Sus scrofa: one gene and its partners. Each later gene encodes a partner of the first gene's protein in a complex. Links are inferred from orthologs where the notes say so. Each region holds a gene or a part of one and is shown in the gene's direction. Other genes may lie near its edges.

What was found.
Region 2: TOX4 (region 1) and WDR82 share a complex: the UniProt entries of both Homo sapiens proteins name them as parts of the PNUTS-PP1 phosphatase complex. The link is inferred for Sus scrofa from reciprocal best matches to the Homo sapiens genes TOX4 and WDR82.
Region 3: TOX4 (region 1) and PPP1CA share a complex: the UniProt entries of both Homo sapiens proteins name them as parts of the PNUTS-PP1 phosphatase complex. The link is inferred for Sus scrofa from reciprocal best matches to the Homo sapiens genes TOX4 and PPP1CA.

Annotation. Positions count from the first base shown.
Region 1 is NC_010449.5:77,688,833-77,692,479, reverse strand, and holds part of TOX4 (TOX high mobility group box family member 4), read left to right. Parts: intron 1-2,894; coding exon 2,895-3,137; intron 3,138-3,647. UniProt on the Homo sapiens protein: Transcription factor that modulates cell fate reprogramming from the somatic state to the pluripotent and neuronal fate. In liver, controls the expression of hormone-regulated gluconeogenic genes such as G6PC1 and PCK1.
Region 2 is NC_010455.5:34,409,433-34,413,179, reverse strand, and holds the start of WDR82 (WD repeat-containing protein 82), read left to right. Parts: upstream 1-989; 5' UTR 990-1,312; coding exon 1,313-1,473; intron 1,474-3,747. UniProt on the Homo sapiens protein: Regulatory component of the SET1/COMPASS complex implicated in the tethering of this complex to transcriptional start sites of active genes.
Region 3 is NC_010444.4:5,118,799-5,122,545, forward strand, and holds the start of PPP1CA (serine/threonine-protein phosphatase PP1-alpha catalytic subunit), read left to right. Parts: upstream 1-1,403; 5' UTR 1,404-1,438; coding exon 1,439-1,493; intron 1,494-1,989; coding exon 1,990-2,121; intron 2,122-2,252; coding exon 2,253-2,483; intron 2,484-3,081; coding exon 3,082-3,186; intron 3,187-3,577; coding exon 3,578-3,747. UniProt on the Homo sapiens protein: Protein phosphatase that associates with over 200 regulatory proteins to form highly specific holoenzymes which dephosphorylate hundreds of biological targets.

The DNA of each region.
Region 1 (3,647 bases):
CTGCAGCTTTGACTTGCCCCCAAGCCTGGGAACCTCCATATGCCATGAGTGTGGCCCTAAAAAGACAAATAAATAAAAAGATAAACAAACAAACTGTAATTCCCAAACTGCTTCCTCTCTAGGAGAGAAGGAAACAAAAGCTAAGTGGGAAGGTAGCAGCATCATGTTCCTGTTTTCTTCTTCTGTGTTCAAATCATTTATTTTTACTTTAATATTTCCTAGTTTTTCTTTATTTTATATTTGACAGTCTAGAGTATGATTTAGTTATGTAGTAAATCCACTAAAAGTAACTTCATTATTGGATTTTACCCATGATCTTACAGATTATTTGTGGTAAAAGATTTGGAGTAGATCTCCATTCTAGCATGTGGCTTATTACCCTTCTGTTTTTTGTTTTTTTTTTTTTTTTTTTTTTCTATTTTGGCCACTCGCACAGTATATGGAAGTTCCCTGGCCAGGGAACAAATCCAAGCCACAGTGCAACCTATGCCACAGCTGCAGCAACACCAGATCCTTAACTCACTGTGCCAGGGCAGGGATAGAATCTGCACCACCTCAGAGACAACACCAGATTCTTAACTTGCTGCTTCACAGTGGGAACTCCCTTCTGTATTCTTGATCCCTGTCATTATTTTACTCTTCTTTTTTAAGAAAAAGAAACAAACGAGTTCCCGTCATGGCTCAGCGGTTAACGAATCTGACTAGCACCCATTGCACTTTGAGTACGCAAGTTCAATCCCTGGCCTTGCTAGTGCATTAAGGATCCGGCCTTGCCAAGAGCTGTGGTGTAGGTTGCAGATGTGGCTCGGATCCTGTGTTGCTGTGGATGTGGTGTAGGCCAGCAGCTACAGCTCCAATTTGACCCCTAACCTGGGAACCTCCATATGCCACAGGTGCAGCCCTAAAAAGAAAAAAAAAAGAATCAAACAAAATCCCCCCCCAAAAAATGCCCATAAATAATGCCTTGTTAATTTGATACAATGGAATTAACTCCAGATGTTTTATGAAGGCTAGCTAGCCCTTTGTTGAACAATCCTCTCTTGTTTTGTATGTGAGTTTTTTTCAGTTCTCATAAACAAATAGTATCATTCTCATATCTCAGCAGAGTTGCTTTTTTATTTATTGTGGTAAGCAGAAAAGGATAGTTATCTTTTGCTTTACCAAAGCAACCTGTATCTTCTTAAAAACTGTAAACCACTATTATACAAGTTTTAATCTAGAACAATAAATATTTCCCCAGATCCTTTCTCTTGTTCCTGTAACTTTGTTTGTTTGCATGAGAATTTGGTAAAAATCTTTGTACTCCCTTCCTGAAAAATGCTGACATAAACTTAAAGGAAATTTCAGAAAGAGTCATGGACCTGAAGTTAAGAACTTCCACATAATAACAAAAATTATGAGCTGTGTACTGAGAAAAGTTAAGTTCTTGGGGAGAGTTTTAGTTTTTCTTCAAGAATTGTCTGCTCTTATGCTCTTTATGTTCCCCTCTTGTTATAGCCCAAATTTTTAACATGATGAGTAAGATAGTAAGGCTCTTAGAGGAGGAAAATAAAGAAATGAAGCTATATCCGTATATTTTTTTCTTCTAGGAGACTTGTTTCCCAATGTGATTCAGAGAAGTTGGGCATTTCATAGACATTCTTTCTCCCTAGTTTTACTAGCTGGAAATACTCCGTCTAGAAAAATTTATTTATTTATTTTTGGTCTTTTTAGGGCTGCATCCACGGCATAGGGAGATTCCCAGGCTAGGGGTCAAATTGGAGCTGTAGCCGCTGGCCTGTACCACAGCCACAACAAGGCCAGATCCTTAACCCACTGAGCGAGGCAAGGGATCAAACCTGCGTCCTCATGAATACTAGTCAGATTCATTTCCGCTGAGCCATGATGGGAACTCCTAGAAACACTTAAAATAGCGATATTGGAATTCTCTTGAGATAGAGCAGATTAAGGATTCAGTGTTGTCATTGTAGTGGCTTGGGTCGCTGCTGAGGTTCGAGTTCTATCCCTGGCCCATGAGTTTCCATATGCCGTGGATGCAGGCCCCCCCCCCAAAAAAAAGAACATAGCATTTATTATTATTTTAGGCCAGACGTATGTCTCTTAGCTCCATGAATGGTGGCCTCATTCAGGATAGAGAGGATATTAAATTGTACTTAGACTTAGAGGAAGGGATTGGGTCTTCCAGCTGGAGTAATCTCTTTTTTTCTTCCTCTCTTGCAGAAAGGCTTGTTCAGAGCAAGACTAGGAATGTGTTTGGGAACAGTTAGAGAACCGGTTTGCCTTCTGGCTGTATCTCTTACGAATGTTTTTCTCACTATTATCCTTACCTTGGCATTGTTGGGTTTTCCGAAAATCTTGTACAAATGGGAGTTTTATTTGTTGTTGACATCATGATTTCTAAAATGGAGAAGAGGTAGGAGATTCTTAAGTGTATATCTTTTAGAGGGGCGTAAGTTTCCCATGACGGTACCTTTTAGGATCTGTTTCAAAGAAACCTAGAGCAACAAACTATAATTGTGTGGTTGACAGTTTGTGTGATGACACAGTACATTTGAAATACCTGCTGTCTATTAGAATCTTTAGAGAGATTTAAGCATCATAGCTAAACAGGTTATAAAGGGTAGGTCCTTACAATCAACATGGTGAAGGTAGAAAAGAGATAAAAGAATTGAAAACTGTGATTGATGTTGGCAGCCTTGTATGTACCAACCATATAAAGAAGAGGAGAGACTTATTTGTAAAAATAAATAAGTCCTAAGAAACTGATAACAAAAATAGGATCTAGGCTGAAAAGAGGTTTGCTGACAATCTCCAGTGCTCGGCCATGTTCTTAACTTAGCAGTATGCAGTCTCTCCTCTTCCCACTAAGTCTTTTTCTCTTCTCCTCCCTGCAGACGTTCCATACACCAAGCTTAGGCGATGAGGAGTTTGAAATCCCACCCATCTCCTTGGATTCTGATCCCTCACTGGCTGTCTCGGATGTGGTTGGACACTTTGATGACCTGGCAGACCCTTCCTCCTCTCAGGATGGCAGCTTTTCAGCCCAATATGGGGTCCAGACATTGGACATGCCTGTGGGCATGACCCATGGCTTGATGGAGCAGGGCGGGGGGCTCCTGAGTGGGGGCTTGACCATGGTAAGGGGCAAGACGTTATCAGGCTTACCCACGCTCATATTAAGGCCTGATGTAAGGGAGGATATAAATGACACTCTGTTCCCCACTACATTCAGGATATTACTTATTTCTCATTCTTCTGGCTCAGGCTCACCAACAAAGATTTCATTTCTCCTGAATAAATGAGATTTATCATCTGAATCAATTTTACTTGAAAAATTTTTTAAATTATAAAATGTCCAGTGTTAACCCTGAAATGAAAATGATTTATTGGGATTTTTGAAAGAAAAAAAAGTTTTTTCCCCCTACTATTACGGTTTTCACATCCTAGGATTCAAATGTGAGAGTGAGTGGCCTTGGTGATAGTGGTGAGCATAGCTGCCTTGCAAATGTAAGTGTGATAGCTGCCATGTTAAGGGATGGATTCAAATATGTTTGGGAGGTCCCTTGTGGCGCAGAGGGTTAAGGATCCAGCATTGTCACTGCAGTGGCTCGGGTTGCTGCTGTGGCACAGATTTGATCCCTGGGCTG
Region 2 (3,747 bases), on another chromosome or scaffold:
AAAGTCCTGGGTGATGATCACATTAATGTATAGCCAAATGAAAAAAAAATTCAGCCAAATGAAAAAAATTCATCCACAAAATTTATGCAGTCTAGGAGTTCCCGTCGTGGTGCAGCGGAAACGAATCCGACTAGGAACCATGCGGGTTCGATCCCTGGCCTTGCTCATTGGGTTAAGGATCCGATATTGCCGCGAGCTCTGGTGTAGGTCACAGACTCAGCTTGGATCTGGCATTGCTGTGGCTGTGGCGTAGGCCGGAGGCTACAGCTCTGATTAGACCCGTAGCCTGGGAACCTCCATTGGCATGGGTGTGGCCCTAAAAGGACAAAAGACAAAAGACAAAAAAAAAAAAAAAAAATTATGCAGTCTACCGTGTAGTACACCTCAATTTAAAAAGAACGGGAGTTCCCCTCGTGGCTCAGTGGTTGACTAATCCGACTACGAACCATGAGGTTGCTGGTTCAATCCCTGGCCTCTCTCAGTGGAGTAAGGATCCCACAATGCCCTGAGCTATAGTGTAGGTCACAGAGTGGCTCGCATCTGGTGTTGCTGTAGCTGTGGTGCAGGCCGGGAGCTGTAGCTCTGATTCAACCCCTAGCCTGGGACCTTCCATACGCCCCGGGTGTGGCCCTAAAAAGACAAAAAAAAACAAAAAACCAAAAACCCACGAAAACAAGAACAAGCCTCCTGGGGGATAGCCCAAGGGGCAGTATTTGCTCTCACTCGCCCTTTGGTGGGGGAGGCCTACAGGGGGCGCCCCAGTGTCGGCGGCGGGTTGCGATTCAGCACAAAGGCTCTTGCCTCACGGGCACCAGAGACCTTGGGGCTCCGGTGGGAAGGACTTGGGAGTCCCCACCCATCCCGCCCAGCAGCAGTTCCGGGAACCGTCGCCTCCGGCCACCCCGCCACCCAGCCACCCAGCCACACCACTCTCTCTGCCGGCCGCGCTGACGTCACCGCCTCGCCTCGCGCCGCCGTTCTCGCCCCGCCCCCTTTCCCGTCTTGCGCCGCGGTGAGGCTCCTCGCCCTCGGCTTCTGCCTGTCGCCCCAAGATGGCGGACACAATGAGCCGGTGCCGCGCTTGTTGGTCCTGAGGTGATTGTGAGGGGGAACGGTCGGCAAGGCTCCACAGTTCAGACAGAAGAGTGTTGCCCGAGAAGGCGGAGGAAGAGGAGTAGGTGGCCCGACTGTCGCCCGCACTCCCTCTGGCCGCCAGCGCAGCGCCGGTCCTGCCCCGGTCGGCCCCTCGGCAGCCCGCCCGCCCGCCGGGCCCCGCCCCGGCCTTGCGCCGCCGCCTCTAGCAGCCGCCGCCATGAAGCTGACCGACAGCGTGTTGCGGAGCTTCCGCGTCGCCAAGGTGTTCCGCGAGAACTCGGACAAGATTAACTGCTTCGACTTCAGCCCTAACGGCGAGACAGTCATCTCGAGCAGCGACGACGACTCCATCGTGCTCTATGACTGCCAGGAGGGCAAGTGAGTGCGGCGGTGGCCTTGGGCTCGGGTCTGAGTCCCTCCCGCCATCCCCGTCTAGGCCCAGTGCTAGTCCGGAGGCCCGCCCTCCGCCCGGCCCCCTGCCTGTTTTGCACACGCTCCTGCCAGGACCGCGTCCACTCCGAAACTGTCCAGGAGACCTTTTTCTTTCTTTAGAAAATAAGGATAGCAATAATAATAATAATAATCGTATTTATTTTCCCCGCCCCCGACCTTCTCAGCGAGCGCTTTTGCAGCGCTGGCCGAACCCCACCTTGACCTTGACCTTTAAACGCCCGGTCCGCCCACCGCGGCCTCAGCTGGTAGCTTTTCCGCCCCTCCGACTCCCTCGAAGGTGCCGGTTTGCTGTGGCCCCCGCGCGGAACTGCAGAGGTTGCTCTGCTGCCTCATTCAGCAGCGGCAGCTCCCTCTCTCTGCCCTTTCCATGGTGACCTCGATTCAGGCCTGGCACTCCGCCCATCCCCTGCCCCTCAGCTTCCCGCCGCCTTTCTGCCTGAAGGCCGCGTGGGTTGCAGTTGTTAGCTGTCAGGATTTATTTGTTGTGCCTCTTTGGGCCCTCTTTCTTTTCCTTTCTGTTCCAAATAGTTCTCTTACTCCCTCAGTGCCGAAGCCTACGTTTATAGTTAACTTTTTAACAACATCTGAAACTTTTCCTTTTTGCCAGACACGTACAAACTTGGCGGTCCAGTCCTGACCTGAATGTGAACCTCCCAGTAGAACAAAGAAAGCATCGTCTAACAATTTCATGTTTCCTCTTAACACTTTCTTTTAAAGTTACACTTTATGGTCTACTTGGACTTAGCAAAATTCCTAGTTAGACCATGACATTTGTAGGTTGTCCCAAGTCCTCTGGAGACTCATCACACCTGTATCTCTGCAAAATCTTGAAAGCACCGCATTTTGCTTTTTTCCCTGTGCACCTGTCCGCTTTGCCTCACGCATGTAGTCCTTGCTAAATTGTGAGTTCCTTTGGAGTAGAAGCTGGTTTAGGTAGGCTAAATTTGATTTCCCTTCAGCCATCTTCCCCAAGCAGGCTTGTGGATGTTTGGTTTTAAAGCAGGCTACTGGTTTTCTCAGACTTCATTTTGCTATCTAGTTCCAGATCTTATTTTTTGAATCCTTGAGTTTTTCTCTGTTCCTTTTGTCTTTTTTATTTTTGTTTAAACTGATGTCTTCTATAAATTTTTGGAACTTGTTTCTTCACTTGTGAATTAAAGCTGTATGGCGCTGAGCTATAATTTCTCCCCCTTATAACTTTCCTGCTGGTATTGTGAAAAAGTCTTATGTTACTGGCTTCAGGATCTGCCTGAAGTATGTGGAAGAGGGTCCTATAGTGGTGGTTCTGAGAAAAGGGTTGTTATTGTTAGCTGGACCGATGCTGAGTGATTCAAGTCAATGTTACTCATTTCTGTCCAAATCTGGCCACTTACAGCAGCCTGGAAGAGAGAGTAACCTATAAAGCTGGGGATTGGAGTTTTGGAGTCCTGGAGCTGGAAGTAATTTGAAGTTGACTTGCTTGAAATGTTTAGTGCTTGTGCACAGATTAGAACCTCTCCTTGGAACCTGGAGATAGAGATGTATACCTACCTCATTTAAAGGAAATGAAGATGGTGATAGCATTTCTTCACAGTATGTCTCCAAATATGGCATATTTTCCACTGATTGGTTGTAGAAATGACATCGACTTGAAGTGTTGTCTTGTTAAAAGTAAAATGTTAATTTTATAAATAATACAGTTCATTCATTCAGGTAGCATTTTACATAATTACAAACTTACAGAAAAGTTACCATATTGTTTCAGAGACCTCCCACTTGATCCAATAATTGGTTACATTTTGCCCCATTTGTTTTGTCATTATCCATGTGAATGTTTGTTTATATGTGTGTGTCTATATATGCATTTTTGTCTGAATCATCAGTAATATGGAGGTATTAAGGCTCTTTATCCCTCAACACTTCAACATGAATTTACTAAGCACAAGAACATTTTCTTAGGTAACCAGAGTACAGTTATCCAAATTAGGGAATTTGGTATTTATACAGTAGTATACAGTATGCTCTTTAAAAGTTGTATGGATTAATTGTGACCTGTTTCATGTGGTCTGTGGTAAGAGAGTGGCTTGATAAGAGACCTGGGTTCTAGTTTTGCTTTGTGACCAGGTAGGTGTATGACGTAGATTAGATCAATTCTCTGGCCCTTAGGAAGAAAAGTAATGTTTTATTGGAAAGCATAATATCAATATCATATCATAATCA
Region 3 (3,747 bases), on another chromosome or scaffold:
TCTTTTTAGGGCCGCACCCTCGGCATATGGAGGTTCCCAGGCTAGGAGTCTAATCGGAGCTCTAGCCCCCAGCCTACGCCATAGCCACAGCAACGCCAGATCTGAGCTGTGTCTGTGACCAACACCACCGCTCACGGCAGCGCCGGATCCTTAACCCACTGAGCAAAGCCAGGGATCAAACCCGCAACCTCATGATTCCTAGTTGGATTCATTTCCGCTGCGCCACAATGGGAACTCTGAGAATTACGGTTTATTGAATGTTTGCTCTTCACGAAATAACATTTTTCACATGCGCACAATGTAGCTTAATTATGCTACTCAAAAGGCAATGATAAAACATAAAAAAAAAAAAAAAAAAACAGGGAGTTCCCCATCGTGGTACAGTGGAAACGAATCGGACTAGGAACCATGGAGTTTCAGGTTTGATCCCTGGCCTCGCTCAGTGGGTTAAGGATCTGGTGTTGCTATGGCTGTGGTGTAGGCTGGCAGCTGTAGCTCTGATTGGACTCCTGGCCTGGGAACCTCCATATGCCGTGGGTGTGGTCCTAAAAAGGACAAAAAGACAATAAATAAATAAATACATAGATAGGAGTTCTTTCTGTGGTGCAGCGGATTAGTGGTATGGCTTGTCTCTGTAGAGGCGCTGGTTCAGCATTGCTGCATCTGTGGCATAGGTCGCAGCTCCAGCCTGGATTCAGTCCCTGGCCCAGGAACTTCCACGTGCAGCTGAGAAAGAAAAAAAAAATTAACCGCTAATTCAGCTTGCATCACAGGCACTGTGGACCAAAATGGGCTTGGAGTTTAGTGACAGGTTTCTAGGTCTGGTCAGTCACCTGGGGGCCACAGAGACTCCGGAGGTAGAGGCCCTTGAATTAGGTCCAGGTCTTGGACCAACCCTTTGCTATCTCTGTGCACTTCAAGGACTTGATCGGCAGTATTTGGGGAGACCCAATGAGTTACCGATGAGCTCACACCAACTTCCCGCCCAGGGCGGAGGTGAGAAGGACTGCGTAGCCCTTAAAAGAGAAAAACAACTTCCACAGCACTTCCTGTCCCATATTCTCTGGAAAGGGGTGGCCAACTTCTCATAGGCAGAACTAGACTCGACCTCGCCCCTCGAAGCCCCGCCCACCAAGAGGCTCCGCCCCAGAGATGGGCGTTCCGTCCGAGTCCCGCCCCGTGACTGAGGCCCCGCCCCCCGGGCCGCTTGGGCCTCTGCGCCCGGCGTCCGGCGGAGGCGCTAGAGCGCTGGGGCAGCGGACGGGGCGGGGCGGGGCGGGGCGACGAGGGGCGGAGCGGGCGGCCGAGGAGGCGGGGCGGCGGGCCGGGGCGGGCCGGGCCGGGCCGGGCGGAAGGAGAGCCAGGCCGGAAGGAGGCAGCGGGAGGGTGGGAGGCAGGAGCGGGCCCGGAGCTGCTGGGCCAGAGCGGCGGCGCCGCCATGTCCGACAGCGAGAAGCTCAACCTGGACTCTATCATCGGGCGCCTGCTGGAAGGTTGGCCGGGGCGGGGGAGGTGGGCGCCCGCCGCGCCCTGGCCCCCTTCCCGGCCCGGAAGTGGCGCGCGGGTGGACCTGCCCCTCCCAGGGCCAGCTTAGACTGGGCGGGGACGGGCCGCGAGGTCCCGTGGCCGTGGCTCTCCCCGCCAAATCGCGGCGCGCCTGGAGGTCTGGGGTTGTTCCCCGCGCTGGAACAGGGCCGGGGCGCATGGGTCGGCCTGGGCTCTTGGGGTGAGGGAGAAACCCGAGAAGCCTAGCCACCCGGGAAGGGGTCCTGCGCTATCAGGCTTTGGGTGGTAGGGCCCCTGCGCACAGCAGTCCCCTCCCAAGTGCCTTGAGGGTAGTTGGGGTCCGGTCCCAGGAGGCTCAGCAGCAACAGCTGCCTCTGGGCAAGGAGGGGCCCAGGCGCCCCAGAAGTGCTCATGAGGGCCTGTGTGTCACCCACCCTCTCCTAGTCTCAGGGACCAGGGTCCTGACGCTCCTTCCACCCTCAGTGCAGGGCTCGCGGCCTGGAAAGAATGTACAGCTGACAGAGAACGAGATCCGTGGTCTGTGCCTCAAATCCCGGGAGATTTTCCTGAGCCAGCCCATCCTTCTGGAGCTGGAGGCACCCCTCAAGATCTGCGGTGAGCCCCCTGCCCAGCCCCTTTGCTTCCTGGAAGTGGTTTTGGCCCCTCTAAAGTCCCTGGATCCCAGCCTTATCCCTGGGTTCAGGTTTAGACTGAACCTAGACCTGACCTGGTTCCCTGGGTCCCAGGTGACATCCACGGCCAGTACTATGACCTTCTGCGGCTGTTCGAGTACGGCGGCTTCCCTCCAGAGAGCAACTACCTGTTCCTGGGGGACTACGTGGACCGGGGCAAGCAGTCTTTGGAGACCATCTGCCTGCTGCTGGCCTATAAGATCAAGTACCCGGAGAACTTCTTCCTGCTCCGTGGGAACCACGAGTGTGCCAGCATCAACCGCATCTATGGCTTCTACGATGAGTGTAAGTGCCATGGGTGTCTGGGGCTGCCCGGGTCCTAAAGGGCTCTCCTGGCCATTCAGAGGGACCCTCGAGTTGGCCTGGCAGCTGGGGTATCAGTGTCTGACAAATACCTGCTAGACTGAGCTCCGTGAAGGCAGGGCCGGGCCAGGCCAGTTCAGGTCTCTCCACCTGCCCTCCTGGCATGGGTCCTGGCACTCAGGAGGGATCTGGTGAATGGGTGCTGGCTGCAGGGCTGCCCGTATTCTAATAAGGGCCTTGCCCAGTGACACTCCCCTCCAGCGCATCCGTTACTTAAGCACTTAGGCTGCCTGTCTGGACTGGACTCTGTTTGCCAGAAGCAGAGATAAACAGACCTGGTCTTGGCCTGGCCCTGCTCATGTGCTGCAGGTGGGTGCCAACCCTGAGGTTGTTCCAGAACTGGAATGCTGGGGTTCCTGGAAAGCTGGTAGGCAGTGGGATGGGTTTCCCTTCCTTGCCCTCTCTGCTTCCCTCCCAGCTGTGTCTGAACAGCACATGATGTGCCCTGCAAGGCCCAGGGACCCCGGCTGAAGGTGGGGCAGCCAGGCCTTCTCACGAGCCACCTCCTTCCTCTGGGCAGGCAAGAGACGCTACAACATCAAGCTGTGGAAAACCTTCACTGACTGCTTCAACTGCCTGCCTATCGCTGCCATTGTGGACGAGAAGATCTTTTGCTGCCACGGAGGTGAGAGCAGCTCTGGGGCCCGCGCTGGAGGAGTGCTTGGGAGGGACGAGCCTGGCCCCATCCCGGGGGGCTTGGGGACAAAGGCATCAGCTGCAACAGTTCTCCCCCGAGTCGTTTCTTCCATGAAGTCCCCCCGCACCCTCATGTCAGGCTGTGCTGTCAGGTCGTGGCCACAGCTTCACACGTGGAGTTTGTCTCCTTTCTCCAAGGAGCCCTGTGCTCCTTGAAGAAACAGGGGCTACGAGAGGCAGAAGGTGGCGAGGTCTGCCTGTCATGGCTCCCAGGAGACCACGGAGGGGTGGGGACAGAGGCTGATCGGCAAGGCTTCCCGGAGGAGGCAGGGGCCTCGTTTTGAGGCTCAAGGAAGTGATCTACCTCCTGTGCTCCCCAGGCCTGTCCCCCGACCTGCAGTCCATGGAGCAGATTCGGCGTATCATGCGGCCCACAGACGTGCCTGACCAGGGCTTACTGTGTGACCTGCTGTGGTCTGACCCCGACAAGGACGTGCAGGGCTGGGGCGAGAATGACCGCGGCGTCTCCTTTACCTTTGGAGCGGAGGTG